Ovis aries: one gene and its partners. The protein of the gene in region 1 purifies or fractionates together with the protein of each later gene. This does not show direct contact. Links are inferred from orthologs where the notes say so. Each region holds a gene or a part of one and is shown in the gene's direction. Other genes may lie near its edges.

Region 1 (10,891 bases):
CGTTCCAAAGAAATAAAAGAAGTTATTTTTGACAAAGGAGGCAGTAAAAACTTGCTTAGATATTCTGTGTGGAAGATGGGAGCAGTAAATAGATGTCATGCCAAAATGGAATAAAGACCTCATTCTCACATAGCTTGGGTGAGGATGGATGAAGGCCAGTGAAGAAGGGTAGGAGCCCAGAGCAAGATCACATGGGGCTTCAGGGAAGGTACTTTGTGGGGTAAAACCATTGGAGCCACCTCGTCTGGTTTAAAAATAGTCCCATCCATTCTGGTTTCTATCTGCATGTACTATCCCCAGGTTGCCTTAGTAACTAGGGCTCCCAGGGTCAATTAGGGGGACAGGTACTAAGGAGGGTGGATGTGCTGGGAAATGGGAATGGGATATGTGTTGACAGATCCTTCCCTTCTTCAAACAGAGCAGGGCAGGTGGCAGTTCCTCTCTGAGTTGTTGACAGCAATGTCCCTCCTACTGCATCCTTTTCTCAGTTCCCAGTGCCTTAAGCCTTCAAGGCTTAAGAGGTGCTGGGGAAAGGAGAGTTCTTCTGGGGACACAAACCTTGGGGTTCATCCCTTACTTCCCTCTGCTTCCACATAGGACCACAGAGGTTTTAAATCCAGTTAAGAGTCAATAAGGCCAAGGGTCCCAGTAGCCAAACCTCAGTTCCTCCTCAGCTCATGGCTGATGTAGGGGAAACAGCTCAGGGGAATAGTCTAATGGGACAGTGGATTTGGGGGTAGAGAAAGTGATCCTGGTTTATTCTTCCCCCATCATATCTCGTGCTACCTCTTACTCTTGTTTGTTTGATCATTCAGTATACACCTGGGATTGGAGATGGTGGGCTAAGTCAAGGCCAGTCATTTTTAAAAAGGGAGGGGGTGCAAAAGACTGAAGATGGGCAAATACTGAAATACTGTTTGTGGATTCTAGAAGCCACACATTGATAAGCTTAATGTTGATTTTCTGATATAATTCTGGATTATTAAAGAGATGGTTTATGAGCATTTAGACAAATGTGATCATAGATACCAACATGAATTTGTCCTAGCCAAACTGATGAGCTAACTTTTTTATTTTTTTTCCAAGTATCTCTAAAGAGGTAGAGTTGGGAAACTGTAGATGATGTATGTATTTTTTAATGTGCACCAGCTAAACACCACCAAGAATATACCTACAGTTGAGTAAGTTGGATAGATTTAACACTGTGATGATGGAGAGAGGACACCATGTGGAACTATAGTGTGTCTTGCAAGAGGATGTTAGAAAGGACCTATAGGACTTGGACTTTCATTGAGTTTGGAGAAGGTTCAAGGAAATAGAGCTTCACTCTAAACTGGGTGCTGTTCGGGAAGCAGGGAAAATTGTATGGTTGGGTATCTTATCTAGAAAAAGGACAGACTAAAGTGAAGCTGAAACTGCAATAAGTAATGAAGCAGTAGTCACTCGTTAGCTGGGAGAGGGAGATGTTTGCAATTTAAGGTTTGCACACTGACCTCATTTAGCCCTTAAACAAAATTGTGATCTTGGTTTTTGTTTTGTTTTTTTGACTCACTTCATCACAATCATTGAGTACCCTTGTCTGATGTTGGTGTTTTGTGAGATTGTCCAACAGTACCTGTGAACCCGGGTCAGCCCCCTAATAATTCCAAAGGCCAGCTGTGTCAGGCCATTTCCCAGATGTCAGAAACTGCTTTCCTCTTTCTCACCTAAGTCATTGCAGATAAGAATAATTATGGGTCAGTTAATAGTAGAATTTGATGGAATCAAAACCAAACGTTTGTGCCTAGTAAATGTTGATGAGCACATCCATGTTAGAGATATACCCAAGGGCTATATTTTTTTCATTGTATAAAAATATGAAAAGCCTACTCACCAACATAACAAAAAAATACTAAGTAATTCTGGAAATGTCAGTAACTTGGATTGACTAATCTGAAGTGTCAATTTCGATTGACTCTGCCCCTAAAAATTACTTGAACCTGCCTGAGAAATGTAGAGCTCTATATTAGCAATAATTCACATGAGAGCAACATGGGACTTCACACTGGCTGCAAAAAAATTAAAATATTCTTCATAATAAGGCAGTTAATATTACGAGCCTGTTGTGTTCTAGCACCTTTCTAGAAGCTCCATAGGATAAAAGAACCATAGTTGTGTGTTGTAAACATAGTAGTTGTACCATGTCTGTCTGACAGGAGTCAGTTCTAAAGTATTGTGTGTTCTTCTAAATAGTTTTTAGAGAAGGCCATTGGCAAACCAGTGGGGTATCTGGGAAAAAAAAATTGATAAGACTGTAGGTAGACCCCATAGATGTCTTCAGATATTTGAAGGGCTACCTAATAAAGTTCCTGTCTTGCTGCACAAGCAGAGAGTTCTAGAAAATAGCTAACGTGAGTACTTAACATAAACCTAGGCACTTTGCTTGTCACTTTACATGCAGTATTTCATTGACACAATGGGCATTATTATTGTACTTGTTTCCCAGAGGAGAAAGGCTTAAAGGTTATCTACCCAAGGTTCCACAACTAGTAAAGAATGGATCCACGAATCTCTTCAGATAGTCTGACTCCAGCTTGGCATAAGATAAGTGCTAATAATAGAGCCATCCAACAATGGGACCACTACCTTCCAGTAACTTGTAAGGAATACAGAGGAAGTTTCCTCAAATTTTGTTGCCACTGCCATCTTGAAGAGTAGTCAGGGACCAGGTTACCATTTCCAACCCTGGGAGGCAGTTGTAATTTACATATAAAGGCAGAATGCAAAACCAGGAAGTCTCAATGCTCTCCTCCCTTAGACACTTCCTCTAACAAATGACCGTCCTTTTCCTGTTACCCACTTACTGCTTATCACCACCAGGTGGCACCTGGGCAGCAGAATTGTCAATGGGTGGGGACCCACCCTGTTTACTTGTTCTGGTGCCTGCATTGCAGCTGCTGATTCTGTGGTTGCTGGGTGGCAGTTGCGAAGAGACCTTCCTGAGGATGAGCTTTTGTTCTCCACACACTGTCTTCAGTAGGAGGGTCTGATCTGGATAGGATGAGAAATGGGAAAAGTTTGGAAAGGAACTTCCGTAAGTCACCCTCTTCATCTCCCAGCCTAAGGGACTCCTTCCCTCTACTCCAGTATTTGGCAAATTTTAGTTTTATTAGAAAGGTTTTCCTCTAAGGATGTTCATCCATTTTCCTGCTGTGGTTCTGTTTCATCAGCTGGTGGGCAGACCAATCATTCTTACTTCCTCCAAGGAATCAGAAATAACCCCTTGAACTCCTTTTATACCTGTTCATCTCAGGATATGGAGAACATAGACAGAAAATTGTTCTTTATACAGTTCTGCAAATTGAAAGAAGCAGTTTAGTTATTGTTTCAGAGAAGTACAGAAAGGGAAGTGAGAAAATTTAAGGGAGGAAGGCTGGGCAGGGATAAGTTTTAAACAGCTTTGATGAAACATAGCCTGATGAAATCTATGCCCTGCAGAGCTAAATAAAAATTTTAACAGCTGCAAATCAAACAGTAACACAAGCCCCACATATATTGCATTAAAAAGTAATCATGGCCAATCCGCTCCTCCTGGGCTTCCAATCAGCCCAGTTTCTAAGTCCCTAGACAACACTTTAAGTCCAGTTAACGGGTAACAAGAGTCCTCATTCAGTGTACCCTGAATTTTTTCATTCCTAAACCTACACAGTGCAGTGTAGCACTGAATTCCACATCTGACTATATTCTAAACCTTCCTTGTAACACAGGCAAATGAGAAACAGAATTGTCTCATTACTCTTGATTATCCATTTTAGTGTCCTAGTGGTTCCTCAAAGTCAGAAATTCTTGGAAAATATAATCACTTCTGCTACAGCTGAGCCCCCATCTCCCTTTGGATCCAGTTTAGTTTTAATCTCTTTAAAATAGAGATGACTAATTCTTGGAGGCAGAATGGACATACTTGGAGATTTCTAAAGATAAAAAAACTTCACTTCCTATTCACCCTGCTTTCCACCTCCTCCCCCCCAACTCCTTGCCTGAAGTCTGAATTATCTAAACTCTACTTTTCAGACTTTCCAGTTTTTTGTTTTCCAGAGGCTGTCATTACATAGACGAGGCAGAAGACTGGGAACAAGATAGGGTAGGTCACTGAACACTTTCATTCCAAATAGGGTAATTTCCTTTCCTTTTGTAAGGACAGCCAGAAAAAAAGTGGAAGGATAAGGAATATGCTTAAAGAATGAAAACAAGGGAAACGAGACAAATTAACACGTAGGAATCCCAGACCAAGTTCTGCCAAATCGTCTGAACAGAGTGGAAGGAAATCCCGACCCTCCATAACCCCTCAACTTCGCTACTCAATCTACCTCTAAAACCGAGTAATTAGCGGTGCGGCTCCGCATGACGTCATACTACAGGCACGCCAATCCCACGTGGGGGAGCTCCTGGTCCCGCCTCTCCGCTTTAAATGGTAGCCACGCCTCCTCCTCTTTTTAACTAATCATATGGTAGTCTTTAGCCTTTACCTCCTTTTCCCGCCATCCCGGGCCGCCCATCTTGACACTCAGGTCCAATCAGGAAGGTCCTGCTTCTCCCGAGCCCTTTCCCCCTCCTCGCGGAAGGGGGCTTTTCGAGCTTTTGACTCCACCTTCGTTTATGCGGTGCGGACCAACCCAAATAGTCAGAACGAAGGGGCGTGGCTTGATATCCCCTCCCCCATTCTGGGGTTTATGGTTTGTAAGCCGGGGAGCTAGTCTCAAAACTAAGCAACCTCTATCTGATCTCTGGGTTGGGCGGGTCCTCCCTGAGGTGGCAGCATGGAGCCCTCTCCTGGAGACGGCTCCAGCCCCAGCCCCAGCCCGGTGGACCAGCCCTACCCTCCCTCCGACCCCCCTGACCAGCCCCCCACTGCTCACGCAAAGCCAGAGCAGAGTTCTGGGGACCAACCTGCTGGCCCAGGAGCGGCGGGTGAGGCCTTGGCGGTGCTGACTTCGTTCGGGCGGCGGTTGCTGGTGCTGGTGCCGGTGTACCTGGCCGGGGCAATGGGACTCAGCGTGGGTTTTGTGCTCTTCGGCCTCGCCCTCTATCTGGGCTGGCGCCGGGTCCGCGAGGAGAAAGAACGGAGCCTTCGAGTCGCGCGGCAGCTGCTGGACGATGAAGAACGGCTTACGGCGAAAACTCTTTACATGAGCCATCGAGAGCTACCTGCCTGGGTGAGCGACCACCTTCAATCCTCAGTGCAGAATAGCCCCCCTTTAGCGCCTCAGTTCGAGGGCTCTCCCTATCTTAAAGTCAGCTCCCCACCTTGGGACGATGAGCCCCAGATTTACCCCTTTGGCCAGCTAGCCGCCTGCTTGCTGGGACGCGCCACTCGTGAGAGCGACTATCCACCCCCTTCCGCACGGCCGGATCCCGATTCTTCCACAAAATCAGGACTTCTTCCTCCACGCTTAGGCAAGAACAGTAATAACATCTGGGAAGCCTGTCTCAGGCGTGGTTCTTCCTCCAACCTACCATTCCAATGCCCCTCCTTGTTTCTGGTGCCATTCACTGTGCTCCTGGGCATCCCCGTTCCGGTGGCGGCTCAGAGGGTTTCCTCCTCTTTCCTGTCTTCCCCAAGACTTTTTTTTTTTTTTAATACCCATTTAAGGCCATAAGGTTTTTCTCCCCTTTCCCGCTCTTATCCTCGAGTACCCTGAGACCCGCCCTGGGAGCATTGACCAGTCGAGGCCCCGCACCTGGACAGACCCTCCGACCCTCTTCTTTTTAGCCTGGGGTGGCTGGGCCATTGAGCAGCGGAGGCGGCTGCTGGACGAAGGGCGGGGGTGCTGGCGGCGGCGGCGGGAGGGGGGGGCGCATGCGACTGCTGCAGTGCCCGCTGCCGACACTCCACGGCCCCTGACCGGCCCCACCCTTTTCCGGACTGCGGGCTGCGCTTGCTGGGTTGAAGCCAGGACCCGTTTTCTTCGCCCCCTCTGCTGTGGTGAGGGGCCCGGATGGCTTCTCTCAGGCCTTGCAGGTGCCCAGGCCGTTACCCAGCCCCTCCCGGGCCCTCCCTTCCCGCTCCTCCCAGCACAGCTGCCCGCCTGGGGGAAATTAAAGTTGACACTTGGCAGACATAGCCATGCTTCCCAGACTCTGAACTAGGGAGGAGAAAGGGGGAGCAATGGTCCCACAGGACTTGGAGCCCAGGCAGCAACTGTTTCTGTTTCTCCTCCTCATCAGAGAAATTAATCTTTGTCCTAAAGCGACTACCCCTCCTCCTTCCCCAGTATAAAGCACAGGTACACTTCCTTTCCATGAAAGGAGTCACACTGATTAAAAAGAAAGAAGACACCAGCCTGGGCCCGAATAGCTCTTCTGGCCCCTCCCTAACTCAGGAGCCGCTTCCTGCATCACCTCTTGGTGTAGAAGCAGTGGTTCCAAGGGCAGAAGGAAGGCTGGTAAAAGGAGCCAGGATCCCAGGATTTCCTCCTCAAACTCTTTCTTGTCAGGACCTTCCCCTCCAGAAAGAATGTGCTCTTCTCCTCCCTCCTCCTCTCCACCTCAGCAGCTGTCATCATTTCATACCCTGGAGCTATCTGCGAAGCAACTTTGTGTGGCCAACTCTGTTGGCTCCCTTTGTTAAAGAGACCTCAGTGCCCCCCAAGCCCAGTGGAGGACTGAATCCTCAAGACATCCGGCTCCCGGGTGTGAGGAGGCCCTGTCACACTTAGGTGTTCTCAGTGGGCAGCCGGTGGGCATCTTAGCAGGAAACCACAAGCAAAGGATAGGCCTCATCACTATCTCCATTTTTTTCCACCTCCAGGTCAGCTTCCCAGATGTGGAAAAGGCTGAGTGGCTCAATAAGGTGAGGGTTGATTGTCCTGGTTTTTGTTTTTCATGAGGGGGAATAGGGTTTTTCTGTCTTGCCAGACCCTGCCACACTTCAATTCTAGCCTCCCTATGGGGAGGATTCTAACGGAAATTGCCTTTAGAGGGAAAGCAAGGCTCTTCTGTGACCAACTCCCTTTCCTCCCAGATTGTGGCCCAGGTCTGGCCCTTCCTGGGCCAATATATGGAGAAGCTTCTCGCCGAAACTGTGGCCCCAGCTGTTCGAGGATCTAACCCCCACCTGCAGACATTTACATTTACACGAGTGGAACTGGGTGAAAAGGTACTTGTATAGGAGGGGAAAGAATGGAAGGGAAGAGATCGGGACGGGGGAGGCAGGTGGGCTAAAGGGGTCTTTCCCTCCCCTCTCAAGCATTCATCTCTCTACAGCCACTGCGCATCCTTGGAGTCAAGGTTCACACTGGTCAGAGCAAAAAACAGATCCTGCTGGACTTGAACATCAGGTACTGCCACTTGCCACTTTTCCCGGGTCCCCTTCCTGGTCATTCTGACTACTTTACTCCCCTCACCCCACTTCAGCCTAGGACTCACCCTCTGTTCTCTTTCTCCCCAACACCCAGCTATGTAGGTGACGTTCAGATTGATGTGGAAGTGAAGAAATACTTCTGCAAAGCAGGAGTCAAGGGCATGCAGGTAGGGCACACACCTGGGGCCTCCACAAGAAGCCTTTGCCTAGAGTTTCAGTAGATGGGGAAAGTGGGAGGTTGGGAAAACCAAGGGTGGGGAGGTCTGGGAGGGGGGAAAGACCTTTTCTGAGGAAAGGCTTTATTCATTTCTTCCTTCCCCAGCTACATGGCGTCTTACGGGTTATTCTCGAACCACTCATGGGGGACCTTCCTATCGTGGGGGCTGTGTCAATGTTCTTCATCCGACGCCCGGTAAGAGAAGACATCCAGGAGCGGTAGGGAAATGCGGGAAGCAGAGAGGACTGGGAGGTAGAGGATGGCCACCTCATCTCCCCAGTGGGGAATGGGGGAGGGAACTGACACGCAGGCTGAGAACTGGCAGGGAACTGGCAATAGTTGTATGGGAATGACCATGCCCCTATGTGTTGTGTCCTGATCCCCCTGCTCTTTGCTTCCAGACCCTAGATATCAACTGGACCGGGATGACCAACCTGCTGGATATCCCGGGACTCAGGTATCAAGGACTTACAGAGCACCTGCTAAGTGTTCCAACCCTGATTTGAAAGTTTAAGAGGTACAGAGCAGTGAAAGATGCAGCCTGGAGACCTCCCTGGTGGTCCAGTGGCTAAGATTCCGACCTCTCAACACAGGGGGCCTGGCTTCCATCCCTGGTCAGGGAACTAGATCCCACATACCACAACTAAAGATCCTTTGTGCCACAACTAAGACCCAGTACAGCCAAATAAGTATTAAAAAAAAAAAAAATGCAGCTGGTTTCGTCCAGGAGCCTTGACCCTAGTTGGGGAGCTAAAACAAATACTCCTGAGAAGCTTCATACTGTGGTTTTTCTCCTGTGGAGACTGCATTTTGGTAGAGAATGAAGAGGGCTATGGGATCCTCAGCAGGGACAAAGGGAGAAAGAAGAGCTGGATGGCAGCGAGGAAGGGACTGAGCAGGAGGTGGAAAATGAGGGTAGAAGAGTAGTGAAAAGGTATTCTCAAGAAAGACCGTCCCTCTAACTGTAGGTCTCTCTTGGGGGTGGGAAACATAGTTGGGGGTGGGGAAACAGGGACCCTCACGCTCACCTCCTTTTCCACTCCCCCATTCAGCTCCCTCTCTGACACCATGATCATGGATTCCATCGCTGCCTTCCTTGTGTTGCCTAACCGATTATTGGTGCCCCTTGTGCCTGACCTTCAAGATGTGGCCCAGTTGCGTTCCCCTCTTCCCAGGGTACGGCCTCTCCCCCTAGATAGAGCCTTCACTCAGGAACCCTGTGGTGGGTCTTTAATTTCTCACAATCTGACTCCTACCCTTCAGGGCATAATTCGGATTCACTTGCTGGCTGCACGAGGGCTGAGCTCCAAGGATAAATACGTTAAGGGCCTGATTGAGGGCAAGTCAGACCCTTATGCACTTGTGCGAGTGGGCACCCAGGCATTCTGCAGTCGTGTCATCAATGAGGAACTCAACCCCCAGTGGGGAGAGACTTATGAGGTGGGAGAGCCAAGGGGTGGGGGGACCATGGTCAGGTGGGGAAGTTCCAGGAGGTGTTGAGAGAAGATGCTGATTGGATGCTGCTCACCTGCAGACCCTTATCCCTCTGTGTTCCTCAGGTGATGGTGCATGAGGTCCCAGGACAGGAAATTGAGGTGGAGGTGTTTGACAAGGATCCAGACAAAGATGACTTTTTGGGCAGGTGAGACTCTGCCTATGTTAGAGGTCTAAATCCCCAGGGCCACTGACATCCCAGAGGTAATCCTTTTCCAGGCCAGGGGAATAGTAATCATTTTCTTTCCCAACTTCCTACCCTTCATCCCCACCATGCACACATACTTAAATACCTCCTGAGTGTAAGACGGGAGTCTGAGATCTGCCTTCTGGGTGAGAAGTGGGCCAATGAATGACATTCTGCTAATTATAACACTCTCTTCTTTTTTCCCTTTCACTGCCATCATTACCACCACCATCCCCTCCCCCCAGAATGAAGCTGGATGTAGGGAAAGTATTGCAGGCTGGAGTAATGGATGAAGTAAGTTGAGAGAAGAAGATGATTGTGGGTAGTGTCTCCCATTGTGTAGACAGTGGTTACTGCATTGGTGGGGAAGAAGCTGGGTGGGTATCTGATCTCTACCTCACTCTCTTCTACCTCTCCCTCCAGTGGTTCCCTCTTCAAGGTGGGCAAGGCCAAGTTCACTTAAGGCTAGAATGGCTTTCGCTTTTGCCAGATGCCGAAAAACTGGAGCAGGTAACTAAGGTGCAAAACAGGAAGCTGGCAGGGGAGAAATAGGTAACTAGAAGTTTGGGGGACTGAGTGGATGAAGGTCTAACCACTACCACCCTGCCGCCAGATTCTACAGTGGAACCGTGGAGTCTCTTCCCGCCCAGAGCCCCCATCGGCTGCCATCTTAGTTGTTTATCTGGATCGGGCCCAGGATCTTCCTGTGAGTGTGGCTTCTGAGGTCGGGTGACCAGGAAGCCGTGGGGTCGGCACTCCCACACCCTCGCTTGCCCCTGCCCACTCTGCTCCAGTAGCAACAACATGTAAACATGAGGATTCCACAGAAGGGATCGGAGTCACCTCAGGGGAAAGACTCTGATGAGAGCCCACCTTCCTTCACTGAAACACAAAAACAACCAATATGATGACTTCTGAATTCTCCCACCCGCAGCTGAAGAAGGGGAATAAGGAGCCCAACCCCATGGTACAGCTGTCAATCCAGGACGTGACCCAGGAGAGCAAGGTGAGGGCCAGGACAAGGATACCACTGTTGGAGGGATTGTGTGTGGGGACAGGAGGAGGGGGGACTGTTCTTGGGATGAAGTGTTCCCTTTAGGCTGCCCATAAGGGCAAGGGTTTTCTGGAGAAACAGAACTGGTACTGGGCCATGTACCCTTGACCGAGTCCTGCATACCTCCAGGCTGTCTACAGCACCAACTGCCCAGTGTGGGAGCAGGCCTTCCGGTTCTTCCTGCAAGACCCTCGAAGCCAGGAGCTCGATGTGCAGGTGAGAGTCACCTTCAGTTCCTCCTGGATATGCTATTCTGTCTTCCCAGGTCTGCACCATTTCTTCTCTGCATCTTCTCCTTTGATCTCTTATTTTCTTGGGGTTTTTTTTTGTTTGTTTCAATGTGTGGCTTTCCAGGTCATAGCTCCCTGGCTAGGGATCAAACCTGGGCCCTCTGCAATGAGAGTATGGAGTCCTAAACCACTGGACTGCAGGGAATTCCATGATCTCTATTTTCAGTCCATCTACCGAGACTCTCCACGTCTTACACTCTCCACGTTTCCCCACCCATCTCTCTAGCCTCATTCTTACAATTGTGAACTGTGTACTTCAAATGAGTGATTTTTGTGGTTTGTAAATTATTCCTCAAAAAAAAATTTTTTT
Region 2 (10,330 bases), on another chromosome or scaffold:
CACATACCTAGTAATTCCTCTTAGAAGACCCTATAATCTTTAGAGATAAAATAACCTGAAGTTTTTTTCTGCGGAGATTTTTATGGTGATCCTTGTAGCTGGAAAAGATTTAGTAAACCACTTTTGTTTTATTCAGTGCTCTATCCCCAACTCGTACAACAATGCCTGCCACGAAAAGGTGGTGAAAATCTGTTAAATGAATACATAAGACTCTCCATTTTGTAAACTTGGGTTATGCAGTGTTAGGAGTTCCTACTTGTATGTGGGCTCCTGTCTGCTTTATTTTTGGCTGATAGTTTGAATTAGTTGAATTCAGTAACTTGAATTACAAAGATGCTGGATCATATAAATCAGATTCCTTGCATTTTCATACTTGGCCCAGCTAGTTCTCACTTTGAGGAAAGAGCTCTGTTTAATAGCTTCCCGAACCTTCTGTGGGAACTCTATAGTATAGAAGCTGGAAAGAAGCTGTCATGTTTGCTGAAATAGTAGTCTTTTCCCTTTGGGGTGGCCCAGAGAAACTCTCTGAGGAGAGAATAGAAAATAAATATCATGAGATTCAGGTGCTTCTACTTCCTTTAACGTTAAGAAAATGAACAAAAGTAAAGCAAATGGATAAATAGCGATTTATTTAAGGGGGAGTGTGAGGGTGTGGCAAAAGCCTGGCCTGGGAGAACCTGAAGGGTTGATAAGGATTTTCCTGAAGATGTGTTAATGAAATTCTTTTTTTTTTTTTAAGATTTTTTTTTTTTTTAATATGGACCATTTTGAAGTCTTTATTGAATTTGTTACAACACTACTTCTGTTTTATGTTTCGGCTTTTTGGCCACAAAGCACGTGGGATCTTAGTTCCCCGACCAGGGATTGAACCCCCACCTCCTGATTGGAAGGCGAAGTCCTGACCACTGAACTGCCAGAGAAGTTCGGTAAAATAAAAAGTAAAATTTCTTGGACGTGTAGGGAGTAGACGTGAATCTCGCAGAGTGAAAACCAGGGTAGCGATATTCTGCGTATTCTTTATGGACTAGAGAGGAGTTAATACTGCAGAAGGGAAGGAGTCCGCACAGGCACGTGAGAACAGAGACCCGCAGCAGCCTGGTCATTGCCAGAAAGGGCCAGGCTCGCAGTCTGGGACCCTTGCCCCTCCCTTTCAGCTAGAGATGTTAGAACAACCAGATGGACCGAAGATTGCGCTTTATGCTCCCCTTGGCTGAATAAATCTGTTTGGCTTATTGTTTCCTTTTTCTTGGTCCTGCGGACAGACATTGCCAGTGAATTCAAAGAACAGTTACAGACACTGATACTGCATGTATTAAACCCAGCCAACTTAATGGAAAAGGAGATCAATGGCTCAAAAGTCACCTGTCGGGGACTGCTGGAGTATTTTAAGGTAAATATGGGGTTTTCATCATTAAAATATTTGACTTTTGGTGAAACTGATATAGGTTATGAACTAGGTATTTTAAAGCTTGGGGGAAGTTGGAAGGCAAAGCCTTTTCAGACTCCATTGTCCTTCCAGGAGTGGGCCACTGGGTGGCAGTATTGGTCTAGGCACCAAATGGATGTTCTCTGCACTCTCTTAGAGGAGTGGTTACTGTGGCTAAAGGAAGACTGTTCCTCACGGAAGATGGTGTGGAGAGGAGGTGGTTAGGAAGTCGCTGTGAGTGCGAGACGGCACCTAGATGTGACACGGCTACCTCACGGCGGACGGTCACTGCCCGCAGGCAGTGGTGAGGCCAGCGTGCATGGGGAGTCTGGCGGGAGCCACAGCCTTGGTAGGCGTGTGCTGCTTTGAGAACATTTTTAGTTAACTAAAAAAATGCTAACATGCACTCAAAGGTGTGCTGTGTTTTTGCTAATTCCTGGGTGTGGATCTAGGTCTTTAGGAAAATGCAACTGTATGGTCACTGTTTCTGAAAAGTAAGCTGCAGTTAAATATGACGAATGGCGTTTTTCATAATTGTTTTTATGTTTATATTCTAAGGCATATATTAAAATTTACCAAGGAGAAGATCTGCCTCACCCCAAATCCATGCTTCAGGTAAGCAGTTCTTTGACAGTCCTGGTATTTCCCCTTTTCTTTTTTAAAAAAACTTTTATTTATTTTTGGCTGTGCTGGATCTTGCTGCGCGAGGGCTTTCTGGAGCGGGGCCCGCTCTTCGTTGCAGTGACGGGGCTTCTTAGTGCAGTGCCTTCTCTTGTTGCAGGGCCTGGGCTCTGGGGCATGCGAGTTAGTTCAGTAGTTCTGGCTCACGGGCTCTAGAGCATGGGCTCAGTGGTTGTAGCACACAGGCCTAGTTGCTTTGTGGTGTGTAGAATCTTCCTGGACCAGGGATCGAACCTGTGTCCCCTGCATTGGCAGACAGACTCTTCACCACTGAGCCACCAGGGAAGGTCCCTCTTTTTCATTATGCTGAGGTCTGTTCACGTTTAGCATGTTTTCAGCAGTGTGACTGCCTTCAGATGTTCTTGTCTGTATTCATGGTGGTGGAGTTAGAACAGAACAGCTTCCCCCCAAAAGTACTGTATGCAGGTTAAACATACCCCATTCCGTTAGACGAATCGTTCTCCTGTTGCCTGTTGTCTATTTTCGTAAAATGTGTCCTGACTCATCTATTTACTAATCAGGTTTTTCGTTTTCAGCAAGTTTTATTATCAACATTTTGATGTTTTCAAGATGTCATTTTGTGAATACATACGATTTCTGACTTACACGTGCTGAAGATAAGGTGGTTTATTGCCAAATGTTTATTTCTTTAGTAGACAAACGTTTTCACAAAGGGAGTTAGCGTGTGAGATTGGTATTGTAAAGATAATTTTTTTCTCTTCTGAGTTACATCTATTTCTTAACATACAAAATAGAAGCAAAGGAAATATTTTCAGAGGTTTAGTTTTATGACAAAGATTCTTATGTATGAGAATTTTTTTTTGGCAGAAAATCTGGCAGAAAAGGTGTATTTTATTTAATCAGTTGGACTTTGTGGAAACCTGAAAAATAACAGAAAAATCATAAAGAAGGAAGAATGGGGAAGAGAGTGAAACAAAACGTCTGTTTGGTTGTTTGTGGAAGAATATGAAAAGAGACAGAATTTGTAATTTGTGGTTTCCTTTCTTAAAAGGCCACTGCTGAAGCCAACAATTTAGCAGCTGCAGCCTCTGCCAAAGATGTTTATTACAACAACATGGAAGAGGTACGTTGGGCATAAGTCTTATTCTGAAATATCTAACCTGGGCAATATTTTTAACTTCAGAAGTCCAAGCTTGATCCTGCTTATCTTATGATGATGAGGCAACATTCAGGTTATCCTGGTTATTGGGGCCTTTTAATTACGACCCTTTCTAAGCAAGACTTTCTTACAGTGTCACTGCTCTCGCTGATCAATATCACCCTGGTTAGTAAGTGTGCTTTTCAGAAGAATTGAACGCAGACTTTTATTGATCTTAGTCATCGTTGTAAAGTTCGTTTCTAGTATCTTAAACTTTTCTAAGCTTTTCAGCGTTTTCACTTGTTTTATTTGGCACTTGTTTCTGAAGGATTCTTGACCGCGTTCTGTCTTTATTCTTGTCAGGTTTGTGGGGGAGACAAGCCTTATCTGTCTCCAGACATTCTAGAGGAGAAGCACTGCGAATTCAAACAGCTTGCTCTGGACCATTTTAAGAAGACGAAAAAGATGGGTGGGAAGGATTTCAGCCTTCGTTACCAGCAGGAGCTGGAGGAGGAGATCAAGGAACTCTATGAGAACTTCTGCAAGCACAACAGTAGCAAGAACGTCTTCAGCACCTTCCGGACCCCCGCAGTGCTCTTCACGGGCATCGTGGCTCTGTACATCGCCTCCGGCCTCACTGGCTTCATTGGTCTTGAGGTGGTGGCCCAGCTGTTCAACTGTATGGTTGGACTGCTGTTAATAGCGCTTCTCACCTGGGGGTACATCAGGTACTCTGGTCAGTATCGTGAGCTGGGCGGTGCTATTGATTCTGGTGCAGCGTATGTATTAGAGCAGGTAAGTGGTGCCAGCCCAGGAGGCTGACAGTTGATAACAGATACGTATCCATGCTTCTATTGTAAAATATCTCCATTTGGAAGAGTTCAATAGTGATAGAAGGCATGAGAAATATGCCTTTTTTTTTTTTTTTGATAGGCCTTGTATTTTATTACTGTTCTTTAGGATGTTAATGTTTATTCCTAATATTTTGTTTCCATGCTTAAAACCTGCTCATTAATGCAAAAAACTTTCCAAGTTAATATACATTGTGTTCTTCACGGGAAACTTTTAAATACGTGTTCATCAGACATAATTCCTGTGTGAGTATCTCCTACATCCAAGGTTAGTTTGCTTCACTGAAAGTCATGAGCTTTGAAAAATATGAATTTAGCGAAATGTTCTGTTTTGAGATCTGCCAGCGGATGGCATCTCTTTCACTTAAATCGCTTCATCAGACCTGTGGCCCTTGACAGTGGCATGATCTCCAGGTTTACAGATTTGAGACTCTGCTTTGTTTTTCTGAGTAGCAGGAACAGATGAGTTAAGTTAGAGGCTTGTGGTGAAGGCTGGCGCGCTGCCCACCCACTAAAGGTTCAGCTGACCTACTTTCTGGGGCATCAGCAGCTGCCACAGGCTCCCTGACTCCTGCATTTTCATTCCCTAACTTTCTGTCTCAGTGTAGACAGAGATTTTTGAAAGTTTGTCTGTAATGGCTTGCTCTTTTGACACTGAGCTGTAATTTTATTAACTGACGTGTTGAATAAATGGACTCTTGCAGGCCACCTCTCACATCGGTAATTCCACTCAGGCTGCTGCAAGGGATGCAGCTGCTGGGAGACCACCCTCGGATAAAAAAGCTCAGTAGCATCCTGATGAGAGGATCGGACGAGAACCCTTCTAGCTCCCTCTGATTTCTGGGCTTCTGCCACGGCCACAGGCCCAGGTCTCCAGGAACGCAGACCCGGGACCATCTGGGAAGAGCCAAAACACGGAACTAATAAATGAACAGACCTCTCCTGTGGTTTCAGATTCTTAAACACACTTCCATTTCTCTTGGAAGCATTTCTTTTCCTCGCTGGTGTAGATCCAAGCTTGTGTCTGTTTTCCTATTACTCTCTGCTTTGTGCACTTTATGGGGGAGAAAGCTAAAAGAACAATGGAAATGCAATTTTAAGTCCTTTATGTGCCGCTTAGTGCCTTTTAAGATTGAACCCATGCTTTCGAGGACTTAATCGGGAGGAAATTGAGGACACGCACGTGAAAGATGCTATTTTGAGATGAACTGTCAGTTTGTTTGTACCATACTCTTTTGAGAAGGATTCCTTTTTAAAAAGTTTACAAAACTTGGCAAAAGCTTCAAAACTAAAGACTGACTAAAAATGATGCTATTACAGTTTTTAAATCTTATGATATTAGAGAATTGTGTTTGCCACATAATATGGAAAAATTGTATTTAAATCTACCGTACACTGAAATTTAAGGTCTGTTTCCTGGCAGGCTGGCAGTTTTGTTAGAACATATTCTGTTTTTTTTTGTTTGTTTGTTTTTTTGTTCATTCATTCCTATAGCTTCTTTCCAGAAAAGAGGCAAACATGCCTTGAAAAACCAGAGCTGCTCATAATAAAAGGAATGAGTTTAATACTTTAAGGAAAAAACTTGAGTTTAAATGAACCATGTGACCTCTGATAAGTCATCTGAACTTGTGCCTTGGTCAGACTCACTGATTGTAGGTCTATAACATATATGTGTATTGTACATAACTCACACACAGTTGTCATTCATGAGAACAGAACTTTATCGAGGGCTAGAGGAAGGATTTTTACCAAACATGCTGCCTTTAATTGATGTCCTATTTTATGTGGCTTAGCAGTACATCAGGTCTTTATCCACAGTGTTTATTTGTAGTCTCCTGCTCACGGTCTGATATTTTTAATAATGAAGCTAAAACTGTCAGTTTTATTTAGTGAATCATCTTTTATGTAACTTTATACGTGACTAGTCTGGTAGCTTTAAAATATCTTTGGCTTAGTAAGGACTAAGTCCCACCCAAGTATGCATATATAATACCTAGAAAATATAAAAATTCTTTATTTACCTTGATTGTGTGATAAAAATTTTTGTCTATCAGTTGCCTTTTCCTTTGTTTATCATGGTGAATTGTTGTGGATTCTAAAGCTTCATACAACTTGCCTGCAAGTATTTATATAAGCATTCAGGTATATGAGCCTTAATTCTTAAGATAATTTTTTTTGTTGTGGGAGGGAGGTAGGGAGTTTTAGGCACATTCCGAGTGTAAGTTCTATATTCGTGAAATATGAATGGATGGTGGAAAAAAGTCTTTTCTAGTCTGTCATATCTTTATCAAAGAGTATTTTTCTTGACTATTTTAACACTTTACCACTCAAGTATTTTTATAAGTTTTGAATTAATTCTAAGTGTTTAATGTATTTTTCATATTTACATACCATCTGGCCCTGAAGTTCTTGCTATTTTTTTCAGTCATGGTTAAATTTTAGAAAAATTCCAACTAGTTCTAAAAACTGTTTACTTGCATATCAATAATACTTAGCTTTATTAAATTAAAACCTTAGTTTTGAAATTTTGGTGCATTTTCAGGTGGCCTGTCATATTCCTGAAGATTGATACTTATTTGCTAAAGGCCTTACAGATGTTGACATACTTAGCTTTTAATGCACTGTATAAGCATGTTTATAGGTTTCAGAAGAGTTGTCTAGAATTATCCTACTTCTAATGATGAGAAAAGGATGCTGTTTAAAACTTGTTTCAATACTAAAATACTAGATTTTTTAAAAATAAAAAAACAAGCAATCATGTATGATTTAATGAAACCTTAGAATTTAGTTACTGTTTAAATTCACCAAATTTCTGTTCTGATCATAAAGGAATAACTTTGTTTAATTACCCTGGGGAAGCCTTTTTTTTTTTTGGTCTTACTTATTCTGCCTCTGGAAATTGTTTATAGTTTTCTCAGTGGGGATTTTTATGAGTTTTCCTTTGGCCTCTCTATTTTTTTTTTTTTTTTTTAAGAGAATTGATGACTATATCAACTTTTCCAGTAAAAGGTGCATTCTCATTGCTGGCTGTAAGTAGTCCCGGGGAGGTTTATGACCAGGTTGCAAAGAATGCCTTTTTCCTCTTACCTCCCCTCAGCTGTTGCTTTGTGGGTCAGGGACATTACTTAGGACCATGAGGTTTTCCTGGTGTTTGTTTCTCTGCCACTTTTGCCTTTCCATGCAAGCATTTTTAGTTGGCACATTCCTACTAACATATAAAAGGTTTTCAGAATTTTCTATGAAAAGAATTCATTATCAGTTCAGTTCAGTTCAGTCACTCAGTCGTGTCCGACTCTTTGTGACCCCATGAATTGCAGCACGCCAGGCCTCCCTGTCTATCACCAACTCCCGGAGTTCACTCAGACCCTTGTCTGTCGAGTCAGTGATGCCATCCAGCCATCTCATCCTCTGTCGTCCCCTTCTCCTCCTGCCCCCAGTCCCTCCCAGCATCAGTCTTTTCCAATGAGTCAACCCTTCGCATGAGGTGGCCAAAGTACTGGAGCTTCAGCTTTAGCATCATTCCTTCCAAAGAAATCCCAGGGCTGATCTCCTTCAGAATGGACTGGTTGGATCTCCTTGCAGTCCAAGGGACCCTCAAGAGTCTTCTCCAACACCACAGTTCAAAAGCATCAATTCTTCAGCGCTCAGCTTTCGTCACAGTCCAACTCTCACATCCATACATGACCACTTAGGAGAGGTTAAATGTTAAGTTGTTGTTTTTAATACTTCCAGTTAGCTTCTAAGTAAAAATAATAGAATCAAAATTTCAGTTCTTTTGCTGAGGACTCTTTCTAAATTGATGTGTAGACAGAATGAGGGAAAACGATCATGTAAGATGATGAATCAGCCTCAGAGTCATACCTTATTTTAGCAGTATCCCAAGAAAGCTGTCGCATGGAGGTCTCTGTGGTTTCACACTTGGTGGAGTTGCTCATGAGTATTGTCTTTGTTTTACCTGGTCTTTCCTTTTTTGCTCTTTCATGAAGTAAAATGCTTTAGGTGATCAAACAGACAAACTGCCTTGTGCTGGCAGTGCATTTAACAGGCCATCCCCAGCATTCCACCTGGCTTATGAAAATGGTGTCTTGAATAAGTATGACAGAAAAATTACGTGGTTGATTTAAGTCCAGGCAGAAGTGATTAAAAAACAAATAGTTTTATTTTTCCCTGGTTTTTTAAACAAAAAAATGTAACTTGTATGGATATCTTAATAGAGCTATTTTTTTCCCCCATGAACTATTGAAATGTAATTTAGGATTATTTAGAATGGCTGCCATCTAAGGTAGCCAACACAGGTTGCATCAGTTGGCTTAATGTTTAGATCCATCAAAATTTTAGTCAAGGAATAGGAGCATGGTGAAGAAAAGCTTCAGTTACTAACATACCAACTATTTGTGTAAAATGACATTCCGAAGCCCATTTGTAAGAGACTGTTTGCAGTTGAATAGTTTTCCTTCTGTGAAGTCATATTGTAGCTGTGTTTTGAATGGTGGCTCTCTTCTATCTTGACCTGCATGAAACAACCCTGGGAGGCATTCAGATTGCTAGCTTTGTACCCAGGGATTGTCTCAGTGGATCTGGGTCTGGGTTGTGGCCCTGGAATCACCACTTTTAAAAACAGCATCACAGGTGGTTCAGAGAGCACAGTGGGAGAGACTGCTCTGAGGGAAAGTGCAATTCAGTGCTGCCTGGAGGCAAGTGGACACCTTTTGCCTGAGATTCAGAATAGGTGGTCTCCTGCCAGATAAAATCACTGAGAGTTTAGTGTTAGGAGTAATAAGGATGCGTTTGGTCCAGAGGATTACCCAAGCTCTATGAAAATGTTTCTTTAAATTAGAAAGACCTAGTGCCTTCTCTGGAAAATGAATGGACAAGTATCCTATTTACCAACAGGTGTACTTAGGATTAAAAAAAATAGTTTGAAAGTTGTTTTTCTTTGAAAAAGCAAAAATTTAGCACTGTGACTTGAACCTCTGAATCTTTTCATGCACAGAAAACCGTAAGCCATAAGTAAAAATGAGCAAAAAGGACAGAGAGGATCATCATTTTGAAAATTGGTGACAGAGTACCCCTTACGAGGGGCCTTCAAAATTAAGGGCAGAAAGATGTTAGAAGAAATGTTTCTTCTTGGGAAAGCAGTCTCACATGCCAGAACTAAAATTATAAATATAGTGTTCTTATGACCAGGGGAAGATGCATCTGATTCCCAAAATGTTCCAGTTACATAAATGCTGTCATGGACTTAAGCCTTAAAGGAGTTAATACTAATTTTGAGCATATACAAAATTTCTTGTCTGATTTCTCTTTTCTTTAAGAAAATGATTTGTTAAAAGCACTTTCTTCCTCCTAGACTTTTTGAATGGCTTTAAAATTTAATATACTTTTTAAAAAGTGCAATGGATTAGATTATGCTATTAGTATATCAAAAGCATGTTTCTGTTTCTTAGTTTTAAGGTCATTTAATGAAATAAAGATCACAGCACCGTGTTACTTGTGTTTTTCCTTTCTCTTTAATATGGGAAGATGTGTTAAGTAGACTTGGGCTTGGTAAAGTGAATAGGGTTTCTACGGGAATGAAAAACTGGTGTCAAAGGTGGCAGTGAGTTAGCTTTCTCTGTCCTGCAAAATAATACCGCACTAGTATTTTAATCTCTAGCATAATGCCAGAGAAAGCTGTGCTGTTGACAGTATTGTGTAAAACGGAGCACAAATTTTATAGTTACATGGACTTGTGAGGACCTTTGAATTTGGAGCACTTTCATTTAGTTGCCCGATCTGGAGCCAACTGGTTAAATGGTTCATCTCTGGGAGTGGGGTGAGGTAAATACAGCTCTACTGAAAGCTTTCCCTTTTCACTGGCAACCTTGGAGGCAGTGAAGAAGTTGTTTGAACTCAAATATTGACTGATCACTTTACAAAGCTCATTCAGCCCTACAATAAAAAGATTTTTTTCCTAGTTGGAAACATACACTGGGTGGGGTCAGTAGCCTGCCATCCCTGATCGTACCAGGCTGGGTGTTGCACTGAGTTCACAGTTTAGTAGGAAAGGGGCAAACTCACAAGTTAATGTAATATGGAGAGTATGGGGAGTGTTGACCCTCCATCATTGTAAGCTGGGGGGGAAGAAAGGAGCAGGGTGGGGAAAGTGGTCATGGGTGAGTGAGAAGTCAAGTAAACTATGACTTCTCTGGTGCATTGATAGACACTTTGCCTTTGATTACTATAAACAGTTTGCCAAAGATAAGTCCAATGCTGATTAGTTTAATAAAAGAA
Region 3 (9,821 bases), on another chromosome or scaffold:
GGATCGGAGCTTGAGGCCCCTGCATTGGGAGCACAGAGTCTTAGCCACTGAACCACAGGGAAGTCCCACCCTTGGGTTTCTGACATGACTTAGTAACTGAACAACAACGACTGTCTGACATTTTCCCACCCTGAATGCAGTAGCACAAGAGCTTGCATATAAGAGGAACGGAGTGGGTAGCCTTTCCCTTCCCCAGGGGATCTTCCCGACCCAGGGATCGAACCCAGGTCTCCTGCATTGGCAGGCAAATTCTTTACCACTGAGCCACACAACATAAGAGGATTCCATCATTTTTCCTTGCTTCTTCACAGAATAGCTATGGAGCTATTCAAAAACTGCTGTAAAACCATATAGCAAGTCGTCATCTTTAACAATACAAAGAATGCTTTTTTGTCTTAGCATCAACCAACCATACTGAATTCTGGGGCAGGGCTTTTGTTGATTTTTAGGAACCAAGTGGAATCTTTCTCTTCGCCCCTGGGAATGTCCCACTTTTAGACAAGAATAGACTTTTTCTATTCCTTTCCTCCATTCGACATCAGTAGAAGTTTCAAATATCATAAAACTGATTTGGCTGTAACTGGAGAAATGCTACCAAAACAATATGAAACCAAAAACCTAAAGGGTAAACCAAAAACCCTAAATAAACCCTCAAGTCTGGTCTTGGGGTTTAACAGATACCAATGACACGGGAGACCACACGTGATATAATTAACAAAGCAAAGACAGCAGTACATGGTACACAGGGTCCCAGGATAACCCCACATAATGAACCCCTTGAGGAGATCCTAGCAGGTACTGGGGCCATACATTTTCAACTTCTTAGTCATGGTTTCATAGCTGTAATCAGACCACTTATCCAAAATACGCCTCTGAGGACTTTCTTCAGGCATAGTTGAAATATTTCCCTTTTTTTTTTTTTTGGCCACACTACATGGCTTTCAGGATTTCAGCTCCTCAACAAGGGACTGAACTGGGCCACAGCAGTGAAAGTATCAAATCCTAACCACTAGATCACCATGGAACTCCCCATTCCCCATTTTTCTTCAAGACATAAATACAAGACAGACAAACAGCACACACAAATGTCAGCATCCAAATAAACAAACCAATTCACACAAATTGCATAAAAGTCCATCAACTATGTCCTCTTATCCTCTTTCCAACATGGTGCCCTACTCAAATGTGCTTCCCAGGTGGCGCTAGTGGTAAAGAGTCTGCCTGCCAATGCAGGAGATGCAAGAGACGAGTGTTCGGTCCCTGGGTCGGGAAGATCCCCTGGAGTAGGAAATGGCAACCCACTCCAGCATTCTTGCCTGAAAAATTCCATGGACAAGAGGAGCCTATAGTGGGCTCTACAAAGTGGGCTCTACAGTCCATGGCATCGCTCAGACACGACTGAGCACACACACACGCTCCACTCAAATACAAATTGTCTTATTCTAAAGGAAAGAAGCCCTAAATGGAGAAGAAATAAGATCTCCAGTTGTTACATGGAGTGACTTACCTACTGCATGAGATGTTGATTCCTTGCTCCACCCGCTAAGAGCTGGGACAGCCAGAGAAGCTTCAGGGAATTTTAAGGGGAAGATCCTCAGGACGAGTGGTCCGGGCAGCTGCTAGGGCCTTACCCCCAAAATCCCCCAACCAGAGCTGGCTGGCCATGAGCAGCAAGACTGGCTGCTCATACTGCTTTGCCATATAATAGGTCAATAAATCAAGTGACAAGTTGTTGGGGTAAGGAATGGCAGCCTGAGAAGATGGCAGACTTGTGTCCTTATGAACCATCTTCCTTGAGTTAGAATCCAGGCTTCTTTTAACACTGAAAGAGGAGGGAGTAAGGCCCTGGTTCTGGCCAGACTCCAGGAGGGATTTCCTCCTGCCTTCAGTCTTTCACAGATGGGCCTGGTCAGGAAGATGCTTCCTCGTGAGCTAAACGAAGGTATTTTAGCTTAGTGTTCATTACCTGGGTGACAAGTGTCCCAGAGATGGTCCATTATGGGTAATTTAAGCTTAGAGGCAACATCCCGTTAGTGATTAACTTGTAGAAGAACACAAAGGTTCTTCTCCCTCTTATAGTCACACAAGTAGATTGGCAACGACGCCTGAGACTTACAGTCAGCTTTATTGATCATGGACACCTGTGTTCGTTTTACAGGCCACAGAACCGTTTCACATTCACCATTTTGGGGTCTCCTTTCTCGTCCTGTAAGGTCCTTCATAACCTTACATTGAGGGTCCACACAGCTTTTCCATTTCCCCACACACCCTTGAAACCTCAGCTCCTCCTGGTAATGCCTTTTCATTGCTCATTTTAGACTTCAGTCGCCCAGAAAGAATCTCATTGGCACAGCTCACCTCCTTGCACATGGCTGATATGGGTACCGGCTCTAAAATCTGCACTGCTGCTCATTCCACAACCTCTGGACGAAGGCTGGGCCAAGGACTGTTGTGATAAATGCAGCTATTTATTCAAACATTAATAGGCACCGACAGGTTTCCCTGCACAGGGCCAGATGCTCTGGTTAGAGAGATGAATAAGCCATGGCCGAAAGTGCGGTGTTGTGGCTGCTGCCGGTAGTGCTTCTCACCTTCAACCTGCACCGATCCTCGCTGACCCCGGTCGGGAAGCCAGAGATTAAAATATGAACGGAAGAGTGGATTACTTGATTACCGAGGAAGAGATCAATCTCACCAGAGGACCGTCAGGGCTGGGCTTCAACATCGTCGGTGGGACAGATCAGCAGTATGTCTCCGACAACAGTGGCATCTTCGTCAGCCGCATCAAAGAGAACGGGGCTGCAGCCCTGGATGGGCGGCTCCAGGAGGGTGATAAGATCCTCTCGGTCAACGGCCAAGACCTAAAGAACCTGCTGCACCAGGATGCTGTGGACCCCTTCCGTAATGCAGGCTATGCTGTGTCCCTGAGAGTGCAGCACAGGTTACAGGTGCAGAATGGGCCCATAGGACCTCAAGGCGAAGGGGAGCCAAGTGGTATTCCCATAACTATGGTGCTGGTGCCAGTGTTTGCCCTCACCATGGTAGCAGCCTGGGCCTTCATGAGATACCGGCAACGACTTTGAAAAACTTGCTTTCTTCCTGTGCTCCCAAAGAAGAAGATACATTTCTCTTTTTCTCTCACCCTCTCCTGCCAGTCTTCCATAACTTTTCCCTCTACATAGCCAGCTCATGATTTCAAGAGACTGCTACCCAACCAGAATCTTGCTATTTGAAATCTCTGAATCCTCATTTTCTCATGGGAGAGTAAAGGCAGTGTCTGAAGGAAACCCGAAAGAAGGACTTGCCTAGAACAAACGAAGAGTTATATATTTTACTAGAACCGCCAATAGAAGTTCAGCTACAACCCAAAAAATGGGAAAGGTCCAGTCTTCCCATCACCCTGCAGTATTCCTTTTTTTCTTACCTGGCATGCATCAAAGGCCAGCTGTAATAAGAGGAAAAAAGGATTTTTCTCTTTAATGATCTTCCTTGGGAAGTTTTTGTGGCCTTTTATTTAATTTCTAACTATTAATACCTACTTGGGCACCTACTTTGTATCAAACAAAGATGATTGAGAAGAACATTTCTACTTTTTAAAACAAACATATATATATATATACACACACGCACACACACATATATATACGTACATATTCATGTATGATATTATAATAGTGATGCCTTATGGAGAATTAAAGAAGTGGAAAGCAACTCCGGTTTCTAGGTTTCTGCTATAAGGATTAAGTGATAGTCTTCAATAGAAGAATTCAGTATGTAGCAAGAGTAATAGAGTGAGGCTTAAAAGAGGATAGCAATCTGAGTCATTTAAAAAAACGAAAACTAAAGCAACTAATTAAGAATCTTAAAAAAAAAAAAAAAATAAGCCATGGCCCCAAGGAGGAGGAAGACACCTCACAGGTGACAAGCAGAAGCTGTGGGTAGGGTCCCGTGTCACTTAGCTTCTTCGCACTGCAAGAGTCAGATTCACGAGCGAGGTCTCCTGTAGGTTTTCACATAGACTGGGACAGCCCGGAAAACTGTCAGCACCCACGGCAGCCCAGGGACTGACCGCTGCTGCCTTTGCCCTGGGCTCCTCTCACGCCTGCTTTTTCTATCTCGTACGTCCTCTTCCTACTGTGTGGTCTCTGCTGTCCCGTGTCTTCCACCTCATCTCACCCCTAGTCTTGGCCCCACATCAGCCTTGACCTCTCTCCAGAGGCAGCCAATTCAGGCTTTGCTGCCTGATGCCATGAGGCTGTGGGTGCAGGCATAGAAAGGTGCTGGAATGGGCCAAAGATGCCCCCCTTTACCCAGGGTGGTGGGCATGGCCACACGACCAGTGCCATCCATCACTTACCAACCCAGCCCACCTCCTAGATATCTAGTTACCAGGACACCCTGTCATGAGTCCATTCTCACAGCCACAGTTGAAGATGCATTACACCCTTCCAGCCAGGATTGAAACGTCTCACTTCCAAGACTGATGGTGACAAGGGCCCTTCGAAAAAGCTCTCCACCTCGGAGTCCAGTGTCCTCAGGCTTACATTCAACCTCCTCCGGGTGTGGTTTCTGTCCGTTTTCCAAACCATGGGCTAACTCCTCAGTTTAAGTACCATCACTACATCATGTATAAACAATACAGCTCTCTCTCTCTCACACACACATAGACGTCATGTAAGACACATAAAGGGGCAGACCCACACTTGGACCAACAACCTGCATGTAGGAGAGTAGCCTGGGGTGAAGGGACAGTGAGTAGGAATCGTAATCCCAAACCTGGGATTGAAGCCTGGGTCACTGGCCCCAGACATCTCTCATGTTCTCCAGGAGAGGGCTTTACTGCAGAGTCTCAGAGGGGTGGTAACTTACGGGTGGAGATCTTGCTCACACCAGTGAATCCCAGGGGCATCTCCTGCAGAGTCAGCACATCAGAAAATCCTCCCCTGAGGGAGTCCCCAGGAGAGGCTCTCACCCTCCCGCCCCCTGCCCCTCCCCCACCCGCCAGTGCCAGCCCAGAGCTGAGCCAGCATCCTTCCAGTGTTTGCTCTGGATGAACATCGCCTCAGGGATGGAGAGGCCGATTTGGAGTCAGACACCTGATCCAGGTCTGGATTTTGTACTTTTTTTGGCTTCGCCACGAGGCACATGGAATCTTGGTTCCCAGACTAGAGATTGAACCCCCGACCCTGCAGTGGAACTGCAGTCTTAACCACTGGACCTCCAGGGAAGTTGCTGATTTTGTCCATAAAAAGGACAACTGAAAATTCCACAGAAGCTCAGTGGGCTGCCTGGCAGTTATGTTTCTGGAGACGCCTTGACTTCCAAGCTGGAGCCAAAGATCTCAGCTCAACAGGAAGCCACTCCCTTCACCTCCCGGCTCTTGGTTCTTGGCTGGCAACTCGAAACAGCTGCACTGTCCGGGCGGCCAGCTCTGCTCCGCAGCCATCAGCACCCCACGGGGGCAACATCCCCAGGCTGAGGCCCCGCCACTGGCAACCGAGGGGCTCCTCTTTTTTGATGGACCTGGAAAGTAGGTCTGGATGAGCCAGGACAGGGCAGGGGTGTGGCAGACACTGATTTCTAGCCTGTCTCCGGCTCTGGGACCTAAACCCTCAGATGGCTGAGACCTTGCTGGGTTCCTTGTTCACGGCACATGGCCCAGAGCCCAGGACATAACAGGCTCCATAAGTGTTTACTGGATGAATAAGTAAGAACAAATGAATGTGTATCTTCCCAGCACCCTCCCTTCTACTGAGAAGTACTCCTGTCCAATCACCTGACTACAGAGGAGCTTCCAGCTCCTTAAAGATGTCCCTCCCGACCCCCACAACCCTGGCCAGAGTTGATGGGCCAAGGGGAGGATACCTGACCCAAGCCAGGCCAAAGAAAGTTTTTCCTGAGAATTTTGTTAAACAGGAACTCAGGGTCAGTCTCTCTGCTGTAGAAGATGTGAAATGTAGACGTGCAAGACAGCCCCATTCATTCCTTGCATTTTCCATGGAGTGAGAGAGAATGCAGCTGATACACAAAGACGAGTAGAGACAAGAAAAGGCCTCCAGCCGCCCAGCCCCTGGCTCCAAAAATTCCTGAGGCCCAGCTGTGCTTGTCTCCTCCTGCAGCCTGGTTGCCCAGTGATTCCTTTGATTGAATGAGGTACTACATTACCTTACCAGCACAGCTCCCTTTCCTTGGCTTAAAAATTTTAAGATGTAAGAAAAATAAAGTGATACAAAGAAAACAAAAATGTCCCATTACACAACGCCCGGGAAAACGCCTCTGACAATAAAAAAGCAATACATGCCATCACCAGAAAAATGGAAGAGTCCAGAAAAACACAGTGAAAATCAAAAACTTTCCTCTTCCTAAAGGTTAACAGCTCCCTGTAAATCAAATTATCTTAGACCAAAGTCTGACATATGTGTGTGTGAGTATCTGTACGTATATACACATATAACCTTCCCTGGTGGCTCAGAGGGTAAAGAATCTGCCTGCAATGCAGGAGACCCAGGTTCGATTCCTGGTCAGGAAGATCCTCTGGAGAAGGAAATGGCAACCCAGTATTCTTGCCTGGAGAATCCCATGGATAGAGGAGCCTCGTGGGCTACAGTCCATGGGGTCGCAAAGAGTCGGATACAACTGAAGGGACTGAGCATGCAGGCATGCAAAGAAGCATCAGAATGTGCTTACTATTTGGTAGCTTTTTATCCCTCAGCATATTGTAGAGATTGGTTCGTATCATCACACACGGGTCTTCCCCAGTCTCCTAATCGCTGCAGTGCTCACTGCATGCATGCAAATCATAGATAACGCATTGCCCAGTGGACAGACGTTTAAGAAACTAACAATTTTGGGTTTTGTGATCACATACTATGCAACTATATGTATGCATTTAACTTTGCTGGACCTTTGCAAATGATCCATAGGGTAAATTTCTAGCAGTGAAATTGCCAGGGCAAAGAGTTTATGTGTTAGAAAAAACAACAACTATTGATGCCTTTTGCCATGTTGTTCTCCAAAAAGCACGCACACAGTTACATTCACTCCAACACATCACAAGAATACCTGTTTCCCCATACCCTCCCCAGGCAGCCCATTATCAAATTTAAGACTTTTTGCCAAACCAAGAGGTGAACACTGCCGTCTCATTGTTTTGATTAACATGTCTTTTTACAAATGTATTTACTTACTTTTGGCTGCACTGGATCTTCATTGTTGCACATGGGCTTTCTCTAGTTGCAGCAAGCTCGGGCTCTAATCTCAAAGGCTCAGCAGTTACAGCACACAGGCTTGGTTGCTCCACAGCATGTGGGATCTAGTTCCCTGACCAGGGATTGAACGCATGGCCCCGGCATTGGCAGGCAGATTCTTAACCACGGGACACCAGGGAAGTCCGATTTACATGTCTTGATGAAGAAAATTGAGATTTTTTTTTTTTCAGCAGATAGTTTGGCCATCTATGTGTATCTTCTTTCTTTTTCTTTTTTTGAAAACTGCCTATTCATTTCAGTGGAACAAAATAATATCTGTTCCAATATATGAGAATCTGCAATACAGTGAAGATAAAACATTATCTTGATGTTGAAAACTAGGGGATTTCCCTGGCGTTCCAGTGGTTAAGACTCCACGCTTGCAATGAAGAGGGTGCGTGTTTCGTCTAAGATCCCACATCTTAATTTTAGCCGAGCGATGTGGCTAAAAAAGAGGGCGGAAAGAAAGGGAGAGACACAGGAAGAGGAAGGAGGGAGTGAAGCTGTCCCCATGGGGCACCCTTGGGGATCCAGGGGCTCCCAGAAGCCCAGGATGAAGGACTCACTCTCCCCAGGCATTGCTCTCTGTCCTATCTTGGATAAACAAGTCCTTGGGACTTACCAGCACAGGAAAGAAAGTCCATACTAGTCATCTTGTTAAAGGGGATCTCCAATCAACTTTTCACTTCAGGACAGGAGACTAGAAAACGAATCATGAAGAGAAGTCTCAGTATCTGCCAAGAACTGGGAGCACCTTCCCAGCAAGTTTCTACGACCTCATGGGCTTGGCCTCAGAGAAGGTGATCTGACGGTAGACGCATCCCTGGGATTCCACAGATGTTGAAGGTCCAGGAGAAAAATGACTGAGTCAGAGAAAAACTGCTAAGAACTCCCAGTTCCTAATAGCCCAATGAAGTGGAATTCCTCAAGCAAGTAGGAGGCAAAAGGCAATTATAAAACGAAATGGGTTAGAGACTTCTCTGGTGGTCAAGCAGCTAAGACTCTGCTCCCAATGAAGGCAACCAGAGTTCGATCCCTGTTTGAGGAACTAGATCCCACATGCCCACAATGAAAGATACTACCTGCTGCAACCAAGACCCAGCACAGCCAAAGAAATAAATAAAAATAAACATTAAAAAAAAAATGAAGTGCGTTATATCCAGTGATTCATACTCCTAAACTCTTTTTTTGACTCCTAACACTCTTAATATTAAAAATAAGTGGAGCTCAATTTTTTTTTAAGTCAGGTGTAAAAAAGACTACCACTTTGGGAACTTGGCAGTTTCTTACAAAATTAAAAGCGTGTATTTCCTATCTGACCCAGGAATTCCAGTCCTAGAAATTTATCCAAGAAAGAGAAAAACTTATGTTTGTAAAAGATCTGCACGCAAACCAGAGCAACAGTTGCTTGGCTGAGAGGACTGACCAGAAAGGGCACAAGGGAATGAATGAAAATGTCTGTACTGATAGCGGTGGTGATTACATGGATGGACATATTTCTCAAAACTCATAGAACTGTACACCTCAGATCTGTGCATATCTCTGTGTATAAGTTATTGCTCAATGTAAAAGGTTTTTAGGGAATTCCCTTGCAGTCCAGTGGGGAGGACTTGGTGTTTTTACTGCCAAGGGCCTGGGGAACTAAGATTCTGTAAGCCACCTGGCACAGATTTAAAACAAACATAAAAGCTTATTAGTTGAAAAAATTAAAGTAAGACATTGTTGGGACTTCCCTAGTGGTCCTGTGGCTAAGATTCTATGCTCCCAATGCAGGGGGTTTGATCCCAGGTCAGGGAACTAGATCCTGCATGCTGCAACTAAAGATTCTACGTGCTGTAAGACTCGGCACAGCCAAATTAATAAAATAAAATAATTTTTTAAAGTAAGAATTGTTTAAATGCACAATAGAGGACTATTACTAGAGCATACAACTCAGTTTTATAATGTTTAAGGTTGATTTTAAATACTGTTGGCATTCTGTACATGTGGACCCAGAAGCCATGGAAACAGAGGGCTGACTGTATTTACCCAAATAAGGGGGAAATATCAGTAAACTGAAGCAGAAAGGAGTAGTGATAAAGAATAGCTAGTGATGAAATGGTAATGAAAGATCTCCCCTCCCAGTGAACCCACACCAGGTCGCTTTATGAATGAGTTGTACCAAAATTTCAAGGAATGGATCATCTGTACTTTGGATAATCTGCTCCTGAAAACAAAAGAAGTCAAGCCAACTAGGTTTATGAAGATTTTACTCCAGCTAAGGATGGACAAGAAAATAAAAATATAGGCTTCACTCACTTATGAACATAAATGTGAAAACCCCAAAGGAAATATGGGCCAACCAAATCCAGAAGTTTACCTGAAAAGAAATCTTCCAATCTAACGAGGTCAAGTTTGCCCTGGGGGTGCGAGGACGGTGTGCCACCCCACATTCTTCCTTCCTGACAGAACCCCAGCTTGTTGGAGGCAGTGCGTGTGCCCCAGTCCTGAGGGATGAGTCACGATTAGTCACAGCCATGCCCTGCTCCCTGCCAGACACTCAGAATGCAAACCTCCCTTGCAACCAGAAGCACC

Evidence for each region.
Region 2: the proteins of ESYT1 (region 1) and ATL3 purify together in Homo sapiens (affinity purification with mass spectrometry; 3 studies listed by BioGRID and IntAct, with this or other methods). This does not show direct contact. The link is inferred for Ovis aries from reciprocal best matches to the Homo sapiens genes ESYT1 and ATL3.
Region 3: the proteins of ESYT1 (region 1) and synaptojanin-2-binding protein purify together in Homo sapiens (affinity purification with mass spectrometry; 4 studies listed by BioGRID and IntAct, with this or other methods). This does not show direct contact. The link is inferred for Ovis aries from reciprocal best matches to the Homo sapiens genes ESYT1 and SYNJ2BP.

Annotation. Positions count from the first base shown.
Region 1 is NC_056056.1:163,407,159-163,418,049, reverse strand, and holds the start of ESYT1 (extended synaptotagmin-1), read left to right. Parts: upstream 1-4,737; 5' UTR 4,738-4,796; coding exon 4,797-5,192; exon of another isoform or gene 5,193-6,787; coding exon 6,788-6,829; exon of another isoform or gene 6,830-7,000; coding exon 7,001-7,135; intron 7,136-7,242; coding exon 7,243-7,316; intron 7,317-7,433; coding exon 7,434-7,506; intron 7,507-7,661; coding exon 7,662-7,751; intron 7,752-7,957; coding exon 7,958-8,013; intron 8,014-8,608; coding exon 8,609-8,732; intron 8,733-8,819; coding exon 8,820-8,996; intron 8,997-9,115; coding exon 9,116-9,198; intron 9,199-9,482; coding exon 9,483-9,531; intron 9,532-9,660; coding exon 9,661-9,747; intron 9,748-9,850; coding exon 9,851-9,943; intron 9,944-10,171; coding exon 10,172-10,243; intron 10,244-10,420; coding exon 10,421-10,507; intron 10,508-10,891. UniProt on the Homo sapiens protein: Binds calcium (via the C2 domains) and translocates to sites of contact between the endoplasmic reticulum and the cell membrane in response to increased cytosolic calcium levels.
Region 2 is NC_056074.1:38,450,324-38,460,653, reverse strand, and holds the end of ATL3 (atlastin-3), read left to right. Parts: intron 1-1,262; coding exon 1,263-1,390; intron 1,391-1,984; coding exon 1,985-2,041; intron 2,042-3,119; coding exon 3,120-3,191; intron 3,192-3,569; coding exon 3,570-4,001; intron 4,002-4,761; coding exon 4,762-4,848; 3' UTR 4,849-9,544; downstream 9,545-10,330. UniProt on the Homo sapiens protein: Atlastin-3 (ATL3) is a membrane-anchored GTPase that mediates the GTP-dependent fusion of endoplasmic reticulum (ER) membranes, maintaining the continuous ER network. It facilitates the formation of three-way junctions where ER tubules intersect.
Region 3 is NC_056064.1:26,351,529-26,361,349, reverse strand, and holds synaptojanin-2-binding protein, read left to right. Parts: upstream 1-2,550; 5' UTR 2,551-2,645; coding exon 2,646-3,083; 3' UTR 3,084-3,711; downstream 3,712-9,821. UniProt on the Homo sapiens protein: Regulates endocytosis of activin type 2 receptor kinases through the Ral/RALBP1-dependent pathway and may be involved in suppression of activin-induced signal transduction.